5 linked regions of the Macaca fascicularis genome follow. The protein of the gene in region 3 interacts with the protein of the main gene of each other region in a pairwise test. Links are inferred from orthologs where the notes say so. Each region holds a gene or a part of one and is shown on either strand. Other genes may lie near its edges.

What was found.
Region 1: the proteins of DTNB (region 3) and SPZ1 interact in binary tests that used the Homo sapiens proteins (3 or more experiments, as listed by UniProt). The two-hybrid records come from large-scale screens. The link is inferred for Macaca fascicularis from reciprocal best matches to the Homo sapiens genes DTNB and SPZ1.
Region 2: the proteins of DTNB (region 3) and BEGAIN interact in binary tests that used the Homo sapiens proteins (3 or more experiments, as listed by UniProt). The two-hybrid records come from large-scale screens. The link is inferred for Macaca fascicularis from reciprocal best matches to the Homo sapiens genes DTNB and BEGAIN.
Region 4: the proteins of DTNB (region 3) and DMD interact in binary tests that used the Homo sapiens proteins (3 or more experiments, as listed by UniProt). The link is inferred for Macaca fascicularis from reciprocal best matches to the Homo sapiens genes DTNB and DMD.
Region 5: the proteins of DTNB (region 3) and SNTG2 interact in binary tests that used the Homo sapiens proteins (3 or more experiments, as listed by UniProt). The link is inferred for Macaca fascicularis from reciprocal best matches to the Homo sapiens genes DTNB and SNTG2.

What each region holds. Positions count from the first base shown.
Region 1 is NC_088380.1:84,272,909-84,275,990, forward strand, and holds SPZ1 (spermatogenic leucine zipper protein 1), read left to right. Parts: upstream 1-1,370; 5' UTR 1,371-1,433; coding exon 1,434-2,582; downstream 2,583-3,082. UniProt on the Homo sapiens protein: Transcription factor that binds to the DNA sequence 5'-CANNTG-3'(E box) and the G-box motif. May play an important role in the regulation of cell proliferation and differentiation during spermatogenesis.
Region 2 is NC_088381.1:168,677,852-168,681,848, reverse strand, and holds the start of BEGAIN (brain-enriched guanylate kinase-associated protein), read left to right. Parts: upstream 1-1,197; 5' UTR 1,198-1,342; coding exon 1,343-1,384; intron 1,385-3,997. UniProt on the Homo sapiens protein: May sustain the structure of the postsynaptic density (PSD).
Region 3 is NC_088387.1:96,815,695-96,819,194, reverse strand, and holds part of DTNB (dystrobrevin beta), read right to left. Parts: coding exon 3,467-3,500; intron 2,581-3,466; coding exon 2,467-2,580; intron 1-2,466.
Region 4 is NC_088395.1:33,307,148-33,311,423, reverse strand, and holds the start of DMD (dystrophin), read left to right. Parts: upstream 1-1,476; 5' UTR 1,477-1,712; coding exon 1,713-1,743; intron 1,744-4,276. UniProt on the Homo sapiens protein: Anchors the extracellular matrix to the cytoskeleton via F-actin. Ligand for dystroglycan.
Region 5 is NC_088387.1:121,138,741-121,142,780, forward strand, and holds the start of SNTG2 (gamma-2-syntrophin), read right to left. Parts: upstream 2,801-4,040; 5' UTR 2,649-2,800; coding exon 2,577-2,648; intron 2,254-2,576; exon of another isoform or gene 2,242-2,253; coding exon 2,068-2,241; intron 1-2,067. UniProt on the Homo sapiens protein: Adapter protein that binds to and probably organizes the subcellular localization of a variety of proteins. May link various receptors to the actin cytoskeleton and the dystrophin glycoprotein complex.

The sequences.
Region 1 (3,082 bases), on a different chromosome or scaffold from region 3:
TTTTTTTTTGAGGCAGTGTCTTGTTCTGTCACCGATCTCAGCTCACTGCAACCTCCTCCTTCCGGGTTCAAGCAAGCCTCATGCCTCAGCCTTCCGAGCAGCTGGGATTACAGGTGTGTGCTGCCATGCCCAGCTAATTTTTTCATTTTTAGTAGAGATGGGGTTTCGTCATGTTGCCCAGGCTGATCCTGAACTCCCAGCCTCAAGTGGTCTGCCTGCCTTAGCCTCCCAAAGTGCTGGGATTACAGGCATGAGTCAACTGCACCTGGCCAATTTTTTAATTTTTTGAGATAGGATCTTGCTGTGTTGCCCAAGCTGGAGTGCAATAAGTAGCATAGTCATGGCTCACTGCAGCCTCAGCCTCCCAGGCTCAAGTGATCCTCTCGCCTCAGCCTCCCAAGTAGCTGGGACCACAGGCAGACACTACCATGCCCTGCTAATCAAACACTTTAGAAACATAATTGTGTCATTTTAACAAGTTACTGTGTAGAGTGTAGAAATCTTAGAGGATCAATAAAAGAGCCAAAAAAAAAAAAAAATCCCCAAATAAGTTACTGTGAAAAGTAATGGTCAAAGTTTTCTATCACCTGATGTAAATGATTTGCGAGTAAGCTTGCCAAGCCTGTCTTAAAGGATGCCTATATTCAAAGCCAAGAAAAGTCCCAGTTTGTAATTGTGTTGCTATTATAAATAACCATTCAGATAGTCCCTTCTTGCAGCAGTAGAATATTTTTGAATGGAGGGACTCCTGACATTACTTTCCTAAAATCACAAAAGGCTCTCACTCTCAGGGTTTTGTTTTGTGTGGATAACTTTCTCTTACAGTCACATCTCTCCTAGGATGGGAGCAATAAAGCCTGTGGGTGCCATGAAAGGATGGGTACCTCACCAGAGAGGACTGGTCTCAGCAATGCCCTTAAGTGGTCAAAACATGCTGCGGTTGAGGTCAGGATTGTGAGGGGATAGAGGTGAGGTAGGGAAGTAACTGAGTGCATTTAGACTGAGATGAATAGCAACCTAGAAATTGAGGGGAAGAGCTGTTGATGAGCTCTTTCTGGCATGAGGAGTAGGGGTAGCTCAAGGTGGATTTTGATGCAGGAGTCACTGGGCAGGAATTTAAGAGACTTCCATTGTGACGCTACGGATAGGCCACAATGGTGCAGTGACAAAATAAAGACCTGGTTGCTAGGGCCAGAGAATAAACACCGGGTGCCTAGAGGAGAAGAGATGGAGCCCCAGCCCTGGTCCCCTTTCCCACCCTTCCTCCCCACAAGGCTGTCTGAGATGCCACCTTCCACCTAAACATCAGCTCCCCAATTTTAATCCTTAACTTTGGTCCCTGACTTCTGCTTGATCTCCAGCCACATTTGCACGAAGGAACATCACCTGTCCATCCTGGAATCTCTAAGGTTTTCTGCTTTCCTTCTGTCCCAATGGCCAACTCTGCGAAGTCAGCTGAGATGCCCACCATCTCCAAAACCCTTAACCCTACTCCTGATCCTCATCAAGAATCTCTGGACCCTAGGATTACCATTGCCTTATTCGAAATTGGATCACTTTCCCCTTCCTCCTGGGGCTCTCTCCCTTCCCTAAAGAATAGCAGCCATCAAGTTACAGAACAACAGACTGCAGAGAAGTTTAACAGTCTCTTGAAAGAAATTAAAGATATTCTTAAAAATATGGCAGGTTTTGAAGAGAAGATCACAGAAGCAAAAGAACTTTTTGAGGAAACCAATATTTCTGAGGATGTGTCAGCCCACAAAGAAAATATCAGAGGACTTGACAAAATCAATGAAATGTTATCAACAAACCTGCCTGTTAATTTAGCCCCAGAGAAAGAAGAGAATGAACATAAACAGGAGATGATATTGGAAAACCAGGACTCTGAGAACATAGTACAAGTTTTTGCAAGAGATTTGGTAAATCGTTTAGAAGAAAAAAAAGTCAACGAAACTCAACAAAGTCAGGAAAAAGCGAAAAACAGGCTCCTTAATGTTCAAGAAGAAACTATGAAAATTAGGAACAACATGGAGCAATTACTACAGGAAGCAGAACACTGGAGTAAACAACATACTGAGCTCAGTGAACTGATAAAATCCTATCAGAAATCTCAGAAAGACGTAAGTGAAACTCTCAGAAATAATGGAGTCGACTTCCAAACCCAGCCAAATAATGAAGTGTCAGCTAAGCATGAGCTGGAGGAACAGGTGAAGAAACTGAGCCATGACACCTATTCATTGCAGTTGATGGCAGCTTTGCTAGAGAATGAATGCCAAATCTTACAGCAGAGAGTAGAGATTCTCAAGGAACTCCATCATCAGAAACAGGGAACTCTGCAAGAGAAGCCAATTCAGATAAACTGTAAACAGGACAAGAAAAATCAGAAGCCATCAGAAGCAAAGAAAGTAGAAATGTATAAGCAGAACAAGCAAGAAATGAAGGGTACGTTTCGTAAAAAAGACAGATCCTGTAGAAGCCTGGATGTTTGTCTTAATAAGAAAGCTTGCAATAACCAGTTCAATATTCATGTTGCAAGAAAAGCTCTTAGGGGAAAAATGAGGTCAGCTAGCAGCCTAAGATAGAAAATACCAAAAGCAGACGAAAAGGTGAATCCTTAAAAAACTACATCTGATACATCCAGCTTGTCAGGCATGATCAATCATCAGACCTTGGGCAGATCTGCTGATTCAACCAAGAAAAAGTTATAGAATAAGAAGATTAACACTTACATTACTCATTACCTCAGCAGTTATGTAAGTCCGGTCTTTGATGACCATTGTGTCTACATCAGGTTCATAACTTTTCACCTTTACAATCTGCTTGTTTTTTTTTTTTGTAATTATTAGATAGACAGCCTAGAGTGAGAAGTTACAGGTCCAATTAAGTAAAGATCTAAATTAAAACCAGAATACAAGGGAACATTTTTTTTTCTTTATTTAATCATTGCCTGGGGGCAGGGGGAGTTCTGGGGGAAAAAAGTGTATAGTGTTTTTGGCCAGGTGCAGTGGTATTTTGGGAGGCCAAGGTGGGAGGATTGCTCAAGGCCAGGAGTTTGAGACAAACCTGAGCAACACAGCAAGAT
Region 2 (3,997 bases), on a different chromosome or scaffold from region 3:
GCAACCTACTCCCCAGATTAAATGAGAGAGTGTAGAAACTGCAAAGCATACAACATACAGCATATAAGGATGGTGGTGATGGTAGCACAACAGTGGGAATTCAATGTCCCCAAACTGTACACTTTAAAAGTGGTTCAAATGGTAAATGTTATGTTTTCCATGTTTTCTGCAATTAAAAAACAAAAATGTACAAGGTACTCATTGGCAGCATCTTCTAATCTGCCATGTACTTGGAAATGATATAAGCATGTGTGAACCATGAGCCCATAGGTCCAGACAGAGGATATGAGCAAAGCACACGGGCTTTGTCAGCTCTGTTTCCACCATGCAGGACCCTCCCCGGCTGCCAGTGCTCCTCCCGGGGTTCCCACGCTGGCTGCTGCTGGCCTGGCTGGGATGGAAGACCCTCATGTAGCTGGCACCCTCAGGGCTGCCCCTTGCCCGCTCTGGGAGGAAAGCGGAGGATTCACACTGTACCTTTACCAGGGCGGGACTGAGCCAGCCTGGGCTCTACCCGGGCAGGTCGGTGGGATGCTTCAGACTAGGGGGAGAGGCAGGGGGCAACACTGGTCCTCCTGAAGCCACCTTTCCTTCCTGAGAGCTCCCTGGGGAGAAAGAAGGCCCTGAGAGCCACCGACTGGGGGCTGGGGCAGAGCAGGGGCAGCTTGGCCAGGCGGCACCCTTGGGAACCAGGGTTTCCTCATCTGTAAAATGTGACTCTGCGAGGGCAGGAGCTTGGTTTCTCTGGCTGCTGTACCCCCTGGGGCCTAGAACGAGGCTGGTTGGTACACAGAAGGCGTCTAATAAATGTTGAGGGATTGAATGGATGGACCGATGAAAAGGTTGGGCAGGTTGTTACTGACGGCCTCTGGGTTTCAAGGGCCCATTCACTCTGTCACTCACCTTCGCGCCCGTGCATTAGTTCCCTCATTTATTCATTCCTCCCGCAGGCTCTACCGCACTCATTCATTCATGCACTCTGCCATTCATGCACGCGCGGGTTCATTCATTCCCTGCCCCTCTGCCATTCCTCGCCCGCCCCCCGCGCACGCCGCACCCCCGCGCCCCTGCCCGGCCCTGCGCCCACCACGTGCGCCCCGGCCGAGCGCTGCGGGGGGGAAGTGCGGGCTCAGCCGCGGCTGCGCGGGGCCGGGGCTGGCGGGGAGCCGGGCTGGGGGCGGGGGGCGGGCGCTCCCTGCGGGAAGCCGGGCGGGGTGGGGGAGCCCCGGCCGCGCCGGCTCCCGGCGCGCTCGGCCTCGGAGGGGAGGGGGCGGCGGTAGCGGCGGCGGCGGCGGGACCCGAGCGCGGCGGCGGCGGTGAGCGGCGCGGCTGCCCCGGGGCCATGTGGACAGGCGGTCGCCGGCCGGGCCGGCTGCGCCGGGCGGTGAGTACCTGCGAGCCGGGAGGGCAGGGCGCGGGCGCGGGCGCGGAGGCGGGGCGGGCGCCACCCACGCCTGGGGCGGTCCCTGCTCGGCGCCGGAGGTGGCCGGCTCCCCGCCCTGCTCCCCTCCGCGCGGCGCCCCCGCCGTGGCGGCTTCACTGGCCCGGGAGGAGCCGGGCCGGGTCTCCTGGGAACTGGGCACTCTCGGGTGGGGCGGGGATGCCCGGCCTCCGCGCGCCGCCGCGAGCGCCCGGGTCCGATCGCGGGGTCCTTGCGCCCTGACACGCGCGCCCCTGCGGCGGGAGGAAGGGAGGGGCTGGGGACCCAGGGCGCGGCTGGAGGACTGGGGACGCGCCGCTGTCCCAGGCGGGTGGCGAGGGTGCGGGCAGGCCTGGACCCGCCTGCGTCAGGGGGCAGGGCCAGCCCCTGCTCGGGAGGCCGGAGAAAGGCCCGGGAGCCGGAAGGAGGCTGGACCCGGGGCCGCCTCATTGAGCGTTTGCAGCGCGTGGGCGCGCACGAGCCTCGGACACCACCATCCCATTCAGTGCCTCGCGGCAGGTACTATCCTCCTGCCCCTTTACAGGCGAGGAAACTGAGGCTCAGGGAGGCCAGGGCCTCGCCCAGAGCGGCTCAGCCAGCGCGCTCACCCTCCCTGAGCCCCAGCACGTTGGATGGGAATTTCTGCCCCAGCGTTTCCGCTTCCTGCTTGGTTTAGAGGTGTTTCCTTCCTCATCTGTGCCCCACCCCATCCCCAATGTGGTTTCCTCAGGGCAGGAACAGCGTGGGCGACACGCTGGAGTCTCCTGAGCAGGCAGAATGGGAGCAGAGTGGGCACCCGGGAGCGGGCCGGATGGGTAGGGAGCATTGCACGTGCAGAGTCCGCATGGCCAAGGTCGGGCCAGTGCAGATTGGGGGTCCAGTCCTGGGGGTATGGGTGGGGCGGGGTCTCCACGGCCACGCTCCGTCGGAGGCCCCAGTGCTCTGGCTCTCTGGAGGCCATGGACAGGTCCTTTTCCTTCTCTGGGCCCCAGTTCCTCTGCCTGTCAAGAGCCGCAGCGACCCCCACCACTCCCAGGGCCAGGCTCCCACGAGGACTGTGGGCAAAAGCCCCTAACAAACTGTGGTGTGCAGCCCTGCCAGGCTGGGCTTGGTCTTGCCAACCGAGGCAAGTGGCCGTTGGGGGTGGCTCTGCCTGGCATCTGTGACACGAAGGGCGGGGAGACGGCAACAAGGGCCCCAGCAGCATCCTGCAAACCCTTAATTTTCCCGACTCTCACTATAATCAGGGCGGCTTGGAAAAGCAAGCACCGTGGCAGATGCGGCTCTGCCTGGGCTCGGAACGCGGGCTCGGGGCGATGGGCGGCTGCGCTGCTGCCCAGGGCCCTCCCCAGCTTTTGTCTCATATTTATAGATTCCTACGCTCCGCGTTCCGTTTGTCGTCAAAACCTGGAACTGTTCGCACCTGGGAGCTGAGTGGGGAGGAGGGCTGCCTAGGACCTCAGCTTGGAGGATGAGTTTTCCATGGGCTGGAGTGGAGTGGGGGGACACCTGTCAGATCCCAGGGCCGGGGAGAGGAAATGAGCCCTAAGCAATCTGGATGATCTTCCATCCACTCTCCCAAGACTAGGGCACAGGGTCTGGCCCACATAGCTGCCATTTATGGAACGCCTGCTATGTGCTGGGCCCTGGATCAGCATTTCCACGCATCATCTCCACGGCAACACTTTGAAGGAGCTTCCCTACTCCTGCAGGCACTCCTGATGTTGAAGAGTGGATGGATGGATAGACGGATGGATGGATGGATGGATGGATGGATGGATGGAAGGGATGGATGAATGGTTGGATGAGAGGGAGGGAGGGAGGGATGGATGGATGGATGGATGGGAGAGAGGGATGGATGGATGGATGGATGGATGGATGGATGGATGGATGGTTGGATGAGAGGGAGGGAGGGAGGGATGGATGGATGGATGGGAGAGAGGGATGGATGGATGGGTGGATGGATGGATGAGAGAGAGGGAGGGATGGATGGGAGGGAGGGATGGATGGATGGAAGGGAGGGATGGATGGATGGATGGATGGATGGGAGGGAGGGATGGATGGATGGATGGATGGAAGGGAGGGATGGGAGGGACTGGCTGCAGCCCATGAGTCCATGACTATTGAACATAGTCCACAAATCATTACCCAGGGTCAGAGGAGGTGGGGCCCAAGGGCTGAGTAGTTGCTGAACAGATGAAGGGGTCAAGGCGTGTTACCAGAGCTTGGCCCAAGGCCTGAAAGTGATGGGGAGAGTGTAGAGTGTTCAAGTCTCAAGACTTAGAGAGGCTGTGCCCTGCTGGAGTGTGGAGGCCATGGTGGTGGGGAGGTGTGGCTGCTCCCCCTAAGGGAGGTAAGGATCCCTGGGACAGATCGGAAGGTGACCCTAGGACTTGCCATGTTGGTCTAGAATCACCCCGCAGGGTTCTCTCCTGGCTCCCCCTCCTGCCGAGAGCTGGTCACTAGCCTTAGTGGAGAGTCCTGGACGGAGGTCTGCAGCCCTGGGTTCTGGTTCTTCCTCTGCCGCTGACTCACCGTCTCCTCTCTAGGGCTCCGTATCAGAATCTTAACACCCAT
Region 3 (3,500 bases):
TTCTTTATCTGTACTGTGTGTGACCAAACAATTATGGTATAGGGTGAAAATGAATGAGCTACAGCTACATCCAACCACATGGAATGATCCTAAAGGCTAATATGGTAGGGGTAGGGGGTATACAGGGAAGTCCTCTGGGACTATCCCCACCATATTAGTACAATATTTCTATTAAGATCAGAAAACAAAAGGCAAAACTAAACAGTTTATTACATAGGATAGTGATAATGCGATAATACTGTTTTAAACACAAGGTAATGATAAACCAAATTCTGGATAGGGGTTCACCCAGTGGGGAAGGTGAAGGCAAGGAAATGGGGTAAGGGAGAGGTACTTCTATGGATGACATTGTTTTAGTCATATATGAGTTCTCAAATAGGATGTGGGTTCATAAGTATTCATTTGACTATTATGCTTCATAAACGTTTGTCACACGCACATTTGTCATACATTTTATTGTAAGCAACATACCATTAAAAATAATAATAAAGGAAGAAAAGGCAACCCTGGTGCAAGGCTCATAGCCACTCACCCTATGGGTGAAGTTGTCCACCTTGTTTTATTATACTAACTGGGTACTGGCAGTCCCAGGCCTCATACACACTGATCAAAAGCAGACGGATGTCAGATACCTACAAGCGAATCCAGCCCTTTATGTGTCTTTTGATAAGCAAAAGTTCTTAATATTAATATAAGTGGATTTACCAACTTCTTCTTTCATGGTAATTCTAAGATATTACTTTCTATTCCAAAATCCTGAAGACATTCTCCTACTTTTCTTCTAGAAAGTTTTTTTTTTTTTTGAGACAGAGTTTCGCTCTTGTTGCCCAGGCTGGAGTGCAATGGCGCAATCTCAGCTCACCACAACCTCAGCCTCCCAGGTTCAAGCAATTCTCCTGCCTCAGCCTCCCGAGTCTTTTAGAAGTTTTAAAGTTCTGTATTCATGTCGAATCCATCTGGTGTCGGTTTTTGTAATTAGTGTGGGGTAGAAGACCAACATGTTTTGTACATAGGCATAAACAACTGTCCCAGCACAATTTAAAATAGTCCCTCCTTTCTTCAGTGATATAGGAACTCCTTTTGAGGTTAAAAACTTTCTGATTTCTCCACCTTCAGATGCTCGTTGGTCTCAGATTACATTCCTGCTTCTTGCTATCCTATGTGACATTCCTGGACTTAGCCCTGCTACGACATCTAAGATAATTTTTAGATCCTTCCAGCTTAACTGAGCATTTTCAGCAATCCCAGTTTCAGCAACAGTTAGACTCAGGATGACAGGCCTTTTTGCTTTTCTAGATATAAAATCAGGCACTAGACAACAGGTGCATCTTATGCCAACAGCCTAGACTTACAGTCTGCCCAAGTCAGCAACATTTGTGCTCCCATCCTCCCTAGTACGACACCAGCTGTACTAACACCCCAGACGTGCAGCAGTGAACCACAGAGCCACCCAAATCTCAGCCTAACTACATGAAGAAACTAAAATAAATTTTTAGGAGAATGAAAATCTCTATACATCTAATGATTTTTTTCACCTGCACCAGTTTAAATTCTTTATGACTCTACTATGACAACTTTTATTGATGATCTAAATCTAAACTATCTACAGAAAACAATAATCTCCATTCTCTGGGAAAAGAAACAAGAGGCTACACAGAATCCCAGATAATAGCAAATTAAAAATCAACCTAAACAGAAAGAACCCACTATTTGAAAATCTAGAGATCTGGTGAGAATCAAGTCACTAAATGTAGTTTCCATAATATCTTAACTTACAGAAGAGTGTGTACGCATGTGCGTGCACACACACACACACACACACACACCCCTTCCCCTAAGGCTCATAGGCAATAAGACCCTAATAATCAGATCATTTCTGTGAAGACTTCCCCATTCCCTCCAAAACAGCGTCACACATGGTGGTAACACTGCTCTCTAATCCCATTCTCATTCTATGTCCTTAGTTTCCTGATTCTTGAGACACTTCATTTAGAAGCCATGGTGCAAGGGTTTCATGTCTCAGAGACGTGCACAGGAAGCATCCTTCTCCTTTGGCAGAGCCCTGCACTGACTGTAAAGAGCCAGGAAAATATACTCACAGGAAAAGCAAAGCATTCTTCCCGCCAACTGTCTCCAAAGTCAGACAAATTAGCAAGATAAGAAGAGGGACTGCAGCACAGTGGTCTTCTTAAAGCAATCACAGAAGTATAAACAGTGCCCCGCTGGTTCCGGAGCTGGGAGACTGGTATTTACTAAGTTCTGTGATAATGGCTGACATTCGTAGAGTGATTTCTAATGGAACCCAGACATCTGAAGCAGTAACAGAATGGGTGAACTCTGCAGTGGTTTGCTCTCACAGGATTGTTTATACTGAACAACAGATTCTTCCCCACTCCTTTGGTTTCCTCAGACAAGTTCCATCCATAGCAGATTACATGTGGGAAGTGGTAGAGTGTCCCTACTCACCTCAGCAGCCGCAGCTCTGCCAGCAGCGTGGGGTTCTGCTGTGCCTTCTCAGGGGTGGGCTGGGAGGCCTGCTCGTGTTCCAGGCGGAGACGCTGAATCTCCTGCAGGATCTCTCTGGAGAGGACGTGTGAATGGAAAGGGGCTGCACAGTGCTTCTCACTCACGCTCCCTCTTTCCCTATTACAAGTGTTCAACTCTAGCAGCGCCTCCTCTACCAATCTTGTTCTGATTGCTTCCAAATGGCCAAGAGGTGAAATGGACACCTTCTCAATACTGCTTCACCTGACATTTCCTCAACAAAGCAATCCTTTGTGGTGGAAAAAGTCATAAAAATACTCTTCTCAAGGACCTGAAAAATCTCCATGAAAGGAAAATTACAGCCAGAATACTTTATTTACTCTGTTCCACTCAGGGAGGAGGAAAAGGGAACTCCTTGCAATCTCCTAATGCAGGTCCTGTGCTGACTTCCCTTAATCCTTACCTGCCCCTTCCTTCCCCCTGTCCCCGATGCCCCAGTGGACAGCTGTGTTGCCTCTACCTACGCCTGTTACCTTAGGTCAGGTCTCCTCGACCTGGCTTCTACCTTTCAGTACATAATGGTGTGCTGTCTGCTCTCTGTGCCTTTAAATGGTTTTTCTTTTTTTTTTTTTTTTTTTTAAGGAGAGACCAGACAGTCCTACATAGCATAATGGGTCAGGACAAGATGACTAGATACAGCAAAATGCTGCTGGGAAGCAGAGTGAAAAATGCAATTGTGAGAGGGGGTCACACGGATGGGTGGGAGAAGGCCCTGCTAAAAGGAATCCCCCGAGGGCAGGTGAGCAGAGCTGTGGACTACCAGAGCAGACAGACACAAATCAGTGCCCAGGGCATTCCCTGGACTTCGGCTAGCCTAGGTTCACCACGGCAAGGTCTTCCTGGGCGGTCAAAAGCCATCCAAGGAAAATGATAATCAGATAATCCTGGACTTTGGAAGTGGGCTCAGCCTCTGCGCTCTTACCTGTTTTTGTTTTCCAGTTCTGCAATAAGCTGTC
Region 4 (4,276 bases), on a different chromosome or scaffold from region 3:
ATGCCTTGGCCTAAACAAGGGTTTATGTTTGTAGAAAACTCACAGTACAAGATATAAAGGGGACTTATACTCTGGGCAGTATTGTACCTCATAGCATAGAGGGACACTGATGCTAACATGTAGACTTAGAGCCAAATCAGCCCCACAACAATTGTTTTCATTTTTTTCATTTTGTTTTATGAAAATTTTGCTTATATGCATATTTAGACAACCACACAGAGGAAAGGAGGTGACCTAGGGAAAAGAATGTTTTCAATTAAAATTAAGCCTTATGTTTTATCTCATACACATTTTGCTGGGGAAAATAGCCATGTTATGACAATAATATTCTAAAACGCAAAATGTATAATTAACTATTAAGGTAAACATCACAGTCTGACTCTATAATTTTTTTTTATTTTTGTCTATTACTCATTTCAGTCGCAAGCAGTTGAATGTTTGACATAGAAAAATGAGTCTGTCACTTTAACAAATGGTACAATAAAAACACTCAAACAAAAATTTTAGTAGGGATTATTATAACTATAAAAAGAATATCTTTCTTTAAAAAATGCTACCAATGTTTTCTATCAATTTGGGGCTCGCCTGTTGCATAAAAGTAATAAGGAACAAGATGAAGAAGACTTCTATTGGCAAAGAATGATTTACATGCTGAATGACATAATACAACTGCATTCACTTAATACAGAAAAAAAAGAGCCTGCATTCAGAACCATTAAATGATCATTAACTCAATGTCTAAGAAAATGGTGTTTTAAGAATTGGCAGCAGAGAAATGGAAGAAAGAATAATTTGTTAGTAAAGAAGTTTTATCATAATTCACAACTGAAATTTAGGATTTGAGAAAAATGTCTTTGCTCCATTATAAGAATATTCTTTATTTTAGCAGGAAAACATGTCCCATGAGACCTACACACACATTCTGCCTTCAGAATTCAGCTGCTGTGTTCTGCTGCTGCTTCTCTTATTCAGACTGTTGGCATCATCAATACATGACTTTTGCAATCAAAAATCTCAAGGGGAAAAAATAACTTTGGTAGGCAGTGGATACATAACAAATGCATAGATTATTCTGGGCATTTCTTTTTATTTGGTAGAGTGAAATTTTTGGTGTTGTTGAGAGGATAAAAAAGGCATTTAAAAGTCAATTTTAAATCGGGATTTTCTGCTCTGTTATAAATTCACATGAAAGTTACAGAAAATATTGTTATGGTTTTGTACTGAATAGTTTTTGTGTTTGGAAGGCTTTAAAAGCTAGTACTATGTCCACTGTGCTATTCTGGTTTGGATATTAATCAGAACACAGTTGAGCATTATTTGAATTCACAGAGCTTGCCATGCTGGAAGCACAACCTTATATGTAGTGACCATGGACAGTCCTATTATGGGAAACCAACTTGAGAGAGAAGGCGGGTCACTTGCTTGTGCGCAGGTCCTGGAATTTGAAATATCCAGGGGCCTCTACAGAATCCTGGCATCAGTTACTGTGTTGACTCACTCAGTGTTGGGATCACTCACTTTCCCCCTACGGGACTCAGATCTTAGAGGCAATTACCTTCAGAGAAAAATGAATAGGAAAAACTGAAGTGTTATTTTTTTAAAGCTGCTGAAGTTTGTTGGTTTCTCATTGTTTTTAAGCCTACTGGAGCAATAAAGTTTGAAGAACCTTTACCAGGTTTTTTTAATCGCTGCCTTGATATACACTTTTCAAAATGCTTTGGTGGGAAGAAGTAGAGGACTGTTGTAAGTACAAAGTAACTAAAAATGTATTTTACTGTGGCATAATGTTTAGTTTGTGACAAACTCACTAATTAGGTAGATTGATTTTAAATTATCACAGTAGTTTGCAAAGAAGCATAAATGTTATATATACTGCATATATATATGTATTTATTCAGGAATATATATTTTTCATTGGGAAAACTTTTCAATAGAAATTGAGTTTATAAGTTTTTCTTTGCAGAAGAATTAAACACATGATTTCTTGATTAATAAGCCACTGCAGTAATAGAATATGCAGAATGTCATTTGATTATAACAGATTATTTTGATTGCTGTGAGATAGTTTGTATATCTCAGTTATTATTTTGACTAGTTGATACTTCTGTATTTAGTAACAGTTACATAAAGGTTACTGACCTGACATATATTCTCAATTGAACTAACTACTGTATAGGAACTACATGGAGGCCTAAAAGTTAGGAGAAGTTTCTCTGACATATGGAGAAAATAAAGAATAAAATGAGTTGGGATGGAAAATTGAAGGATGTGAAAAGTATTGATAAAGATTTAATTGTAATGTTGCTTTCTCACATTTACTATTTCAAATGCTCTTTTCTATAGCATACCATGATGATTATTTCAAATAATGATGTGATCTATGCTATCAAATGATCAGATGATCTCTTGGGAAAACAACATACAAACTTGAGGAACTCCTAATTATGTTTAGTAGTAAATTATATTTAGTAGATGTTTCAAGTCTATCATGAGCTAGCTTTTCAGTTCAATTTTTTAGTTTGTCTTCCATATAGAAATGCAACTATTTTGTTTATTTTTAAGAAAGTCATGATGACTATTGAAGGATTTAAAAATGGACTGTGGCACAACAGTAAAAATAATATATGATAAGGACTGTGTGTCCCAAAAAGATGGGAGTTTATCTCTTCCCCACCTATCTTTGACTTGTGGAGTATAGTTATTCTAAAATAGATATGAGAGCGATGCCTATAATTAAGAATGAAAAAATAAGTCTCTCCAAATAAGTAATGCTCCACAACTACTAAAAAAAAAAAAAAAAAAGGCAGACGTTTTACCACTGTGAAAAATTTGTGGAAATAAGTTAACATTGTCCATGTATTGAGTCACATTAAAAGCTACCAGATTTTATAATACAACATTTAGTTACATTGTTTGCTTGCTTCATAAATTTCTTTTGGTGAGTATCATTATTGCTTTTAGATTGAAAAACTATTATATTTACTATCATTACAAAAATATGCATGGCATATATCTGTTGTTTGCAATATACACATATACACATATTTTTATTTATCATTTTTATTTCTTTGATATATGTAATATAAATACTATCAAAATCGCTAGTGATTTTATATATATATATATATTCTATATAATTAACCACATATACCAGTATATAGAGCAATTTTGAAAGAATATATGCAATTCTGCTGGAATGAAGCAAGGTAAACCTATCCTCTGCTTTGTCATAGATAGTTGAAAAACTTTCAGTTCTTCGAATGTGAAGGAAGGTAATCTTTTTGGAACATGTCCTGTAGGATTTTTTCACACTGCATTTAAAAAATCATCAAGTAATGCCTATGCAACATGACAATGAGTTTGTTAAGGAAAATGGAGATATACTCAGGGCTATATTATACATTAAATTTTGTTGCTTGACAATATACTACTATTTGGATGTCTGACATTTGAATCTGGTTTGTAAATTCGCCTTAGTTTGAAAAACTTATAAAAGTACATTTTGTTTTTTAAACAGAATAGTTACTCTGTAAAAGAGATCACTGTATTGTCAAACACATTGTATTGTTTACTTTTAGAATTACTCAAATAATGCATTGTAAAGAATTATTCAAATAGTGTATGGCAAATAGATATTTCATTTGAATATATTTAAATGATGTAAGTCATCTTGAGGTCTAACAAAATCATCTTTTAGAATTTCATTTGCAGAATCTTTTAAAGACATCTTAACTATGAAAAAGAGATCGCTGATCTAAATTGATGATATACTGTTAATACAAAGTTTTGGTGTATCTTACATGGCATAACATTATGAAAAATACAACAGAGTATGTCATATAGATGTTATTCTAAACTTTAAAAAAGACTACAAAGTGTTTTATGCATAATTACATTATTTAAGGGGAAATAGGTGTTGGTTGACACTTCTAGCTAGACAGTACTGAATTGCAAATTCATCATTTGGGCAGAGATATTAATACAGCTTCCTCTTTATTCCTATAGCATTCATTTGAAATCCCTGTACTCCACGTCATTTGCTATATATGAAACAAATTGTCAAGTTTTTAACCACTTGTGTAGTTTAATAAAAGAGATTAAAATCATTGCCTTGGAAACATCAGGTGTTTTTCAAAATTCTATTTTATTATCTTTCATCAAAATTTTATCTCAAGAGTAAAACAAACTGATTTCCCAAACTTTCCTTCTCCTCCCACTTTCTATTGTAATATTTTCCTAACTTATTAAAAATGATTTATCATACTCTTTCATCAAT
Region 5 (4,040 bases), about 24 Mb from region 3:
GAGTTTTGCTTATGATGTCATAGACATCAACAGAAATTCTACAATTGAAATTAAAGATGAGTCAGCAAGGATGAGAAACATACCCAAAGCATAGAAGGAATGGGTAACCTTCTTAGGAGGTCAGAGGCTTCATTCATCTCATGCAGCAATTCCTATCTGTAAACAGATGATTAAGTGGTGCCCTTAGCAAATGCACTTTTAAAATGACCTAATGTGCCCCTTTCAGTGGGCAAGCTCATCGTATAAACGGGCACGTTCCTAGCTCATGTCAAGGATTCTTCCCGTGCCCCAGACAGAAGTAGTGCTGTCATTTAAAAGCAGCAAATATGCTGTAAACATCAACCAATAGTAGTCTTTGAAGCTACAAGCAAGACACACTTAGCACATTGTACTGAGGGTTGTCTGTCCGTGGGATTTTATCACGGACAGACAAAATCCAGGTATGGTCAGAGACAGAGCTCCATGAACTGACTTAACTTAGAAAAAGACATCGAGAACAGGCACGAGAAAGGGGACACAAGACAGTTTTGCTACTGAACAGGAGACCTTCAAATGTGGCCAAATTCCATGATTCAGACAAGGAGTCATGATAAAGAATGTGTACGGTTTCAACTCCAGATAGAAAAAAAAATGACTAGAAAGGTAAGATTTAGAAAAGACTTTCACCTTTTTCCAGTTAAAAGCACCAAGTTCTCTTCACTGAAATGATGAAATAATTACACAAGTTGAATAATATTATGCAGTTATGGTAAGAAAATAATTCTGCGCAGTTGTCTCTGCCATTAAGCAAGGATGACATTGTATGCTAAGAACATTCAAGACAAACCTGCCAACACCGATACTTAACAGATTCGTTTTAAATAAATAAGAATCTGAGCTAACACGACCGTGTCTAATGTCTAAGGTAGGCTAAGGTGTCTAAGGTAGGCTCAGCACCTACCTAATTACTTATGACTGCAAAGTTAGGAGTCGTGGTCTTAAAACGCTCCGTCTTATTGTAATAATTGGCTTCCAACGCTGAAAAAAAAGTTTCTTTCAACACAATTCAGATAGGCTGTTTCAAATAATCAAGGTCCTTATTACAAAGAAAGCACCAATCACATCTTGTAGCAAACAGGTGAGCAGAGGCCACCCTTGACTGGAAAACATCAAATTCAGCCCCTTAATTAACACTGAGCACAAATGAGAACATTTACTAGAATACGCGCAGTTGCTGTATTTGTTGACGTTATTGCCAATAACTCATCAAGTGGGTCAATTATGAAGTATGATGAATCCACTTCAAAGCTTCTGCTATAATTACAATGATTAAAAGCAAGACTTGCTGCAAGAATGTCTCGAGAAAAACGCACAATTCCTAACCATGGGAGGGCATCATTTTAAAGCTGAAGGCGGTGACCAGAGGGAAAGCTGTGATTCCAGAGCGCCTGCAGTTTTTACTGCAGTTTATTTCCAGGTAATCCCCGCGTACTTTCTCGGGTTTGATTACCATGGGCAACAGCGGGATGGCTATTCATGTTACAAATACGTCAAGAAATAAACACCCACATTTTACATGAAATTTAATTTTCATATTTTGTAGTAAAAGCCCAGAAAGGTACGACTTGAATGAAGATGCATCTATCTCCATAATTTTTAACATCACACAGTAGCTACAACCACTGTCCTAGTTTAGAATCGTTATTATGACAATAGGAATGTGTAGCAGCCCTCAGCCTGTGGCCTTCTGAACCGTCTCTCAGCTGTCCTATTCCTGGTGGCTCCGGGGACTGGGAGCTCCTGGGGAAGGAATCCTAAAGGAGTGGTTGTCAATGCATTTTCCTGAACAGCCGCGCTCCCAGGCAGCTTCCTAGGGCTGGGGTGGCCACGTGCTCCCTTAAACTGCTTTCACAACTTGGGGCTGTGCTGTGGGTGGCAACTTGAAGGTTTCCAAGAACTTTTCGTTTTTCTTTGAACTAATACTTGTTTTCTGTCAATCAATAGTTTAGTTATTTAAAAGTAAGAAGGTAGAGAGGGAGTTATTTCGGGTAAGAACTAGAATAGACTTCAAAAAAGAAACCGTATTACCCAGTTGGCGTCCCAGCGGCTCCCCGAATGGCCAAGAGCCCCCAGCACCTGCCGAGGCCGCGCCACGCACCTGGCCAGGCTCACTCCAGCCAGCTCAGACCCGGCCTGGGCGCCAGAAGGCTGCAGGGGGGACGCTCCGGTCCGCACCACCGCCTGGACCCAAAGGAGCCGCTCCTGGGAAGGAATGTGGGGCCGATCTCAAATTCCAAATTCTGGAAAGCGTTACCTCCCACGCAGTTTAGGGAAGCCCGTGCACCCCAAAACCAAGCCTTGCAAGACACTCGAAGAGCAAAGCCTGCAAGTTTCCAGTAAGACACCGCGCTGGAGGGAGCAGAGCGGCCAGGGGGCGGGTGCCCATTGCGTCCCGGGGCTCCGGCGTCCACCCTCCGACCAGCCGCCCGCGGAGACAGGGAAGGGGTCGCGGGGAACGAGGTGGGCGTGGAGGGAGACGGGCGCGAAGGAGAAGGAAGCGGGCCGGGGGTGCAGGGGCGCAGAGGGGCCGCACTCACCCGCGCAGGCACCAGCAGGCAGCCCGGACGTCCGCGGGGGGCGGCCGGGGGCGGGGGTCCCTCGGTGCTCATCGCTACCCCTGCGGCTGGGTCCGCGCTCCGGGCCGGCCGAGCTCAACGCCAGGACCCCGCCCTGGAGCCAGGAGCCTGGCGTCCGCGCCCCTCGGCCGGCTCCGGCTCCGGCTCCAGCTCAGGCTACAGCGGGGCGCGGAGCTGGGGAACCCGAGCTCCGCCCGCCGCCCGGGAGCGCCGCCCACGCAGACCCGCCCCGGGTGAAGGAGGGGCCGGGCGCGCACCCGCGGGGAGGGCGGCGAGCGCGGATCCGCGGGAGTCGGGAGAGGGGCGCTCCCACGGGTCGGGAAACCGGCGCGCGACTCCGGGGAAAGTGCCAGGATTGGGGGACAGGGGCGCTCCCGCGGGGGTGGAGGGGGCACCATCGCGGGGCCGGCGGGGCAGGGGCCGGCGCACGAGGCTGGAGGCGGGGAGCGCGCGCTTCTACCCGGGCTGGGTCGCCGAGGTCCGCGGCGCGCGGCGGCGGCGGGTGGGTGGATGGGAGGGGGGCACCCCCGCTCCTTTGGGGCGCAGACGGGCGCGCTGTGGACCGGCTTGACGACCTCTCCCGGCCGCCCCACCTCCCTGGCCAAAGGTTCTCAGCTTCTCATCAGGGGCATTTCCAGTCCACAGCCTCGAGGCCCATGGGTCCTCCCGGGCCCTCTGAAGCCCCCACACCTGTGCGCGCCGGCCGCATCCTCAGACCTTTCCCCACGGCGTCTCCCCAGCCCTTGGAGAAACAGCGCAGGGCCCGAGGATGTCCTGACCCAGAGAAAAGATACAGAAGCCCCAACTTCCCCCAACCCCGCTCCCCTCCTCCTCCTCCCACCCTCCCTTCCCGCCCCCAAAGCTCGGGCCCCCCATCCCGCCTCCGGTCCGCGGAGTCTCCCGGACCCTGCGAGGACCCGGCGCTCGGCGGTGCCTTCCTGGGGCTCATGGGGCGGGGGCTGGAGCGGGGAGACCGGGTGGGGAGGGGACCCCAGATCTCAGGCGCCCGCGGAGGCGGCGGTTCCCGCTGTTCATTCAGGTTTGTGCCAAAAGGAGCCTCACAGATGCGGTATTGGGTTTGGTAGACTCAAACCGTCCCGTTTTAATGTAAATGAAAGTAAGTTTAGGATAGATTCCAGTGCGGCGGGGGAGTGAGGGGGCATACAAGGCTACCCACTTTTTTTTTTTTTTTTTTTTTTTTTTTTTTTTAAGACGGAGTCTCGCTCTGTCGCCCGGGCTGGAGTGCAGTGGCCGGACCTCAGCTCACTGCAAGCTCCGCCTCCCGGGTTCCCGCCATTCTCCTGCCTCAGCCTCCCGAGTAGCTGGGACCACAGGTGCCGCCACCTCGCCCGGCTAGTTTTTTGTATTTTTAGTAGAGACGGGGTTTCACCGTGTTAGCCAGGATGGTCTCGATCTCCTGACCTC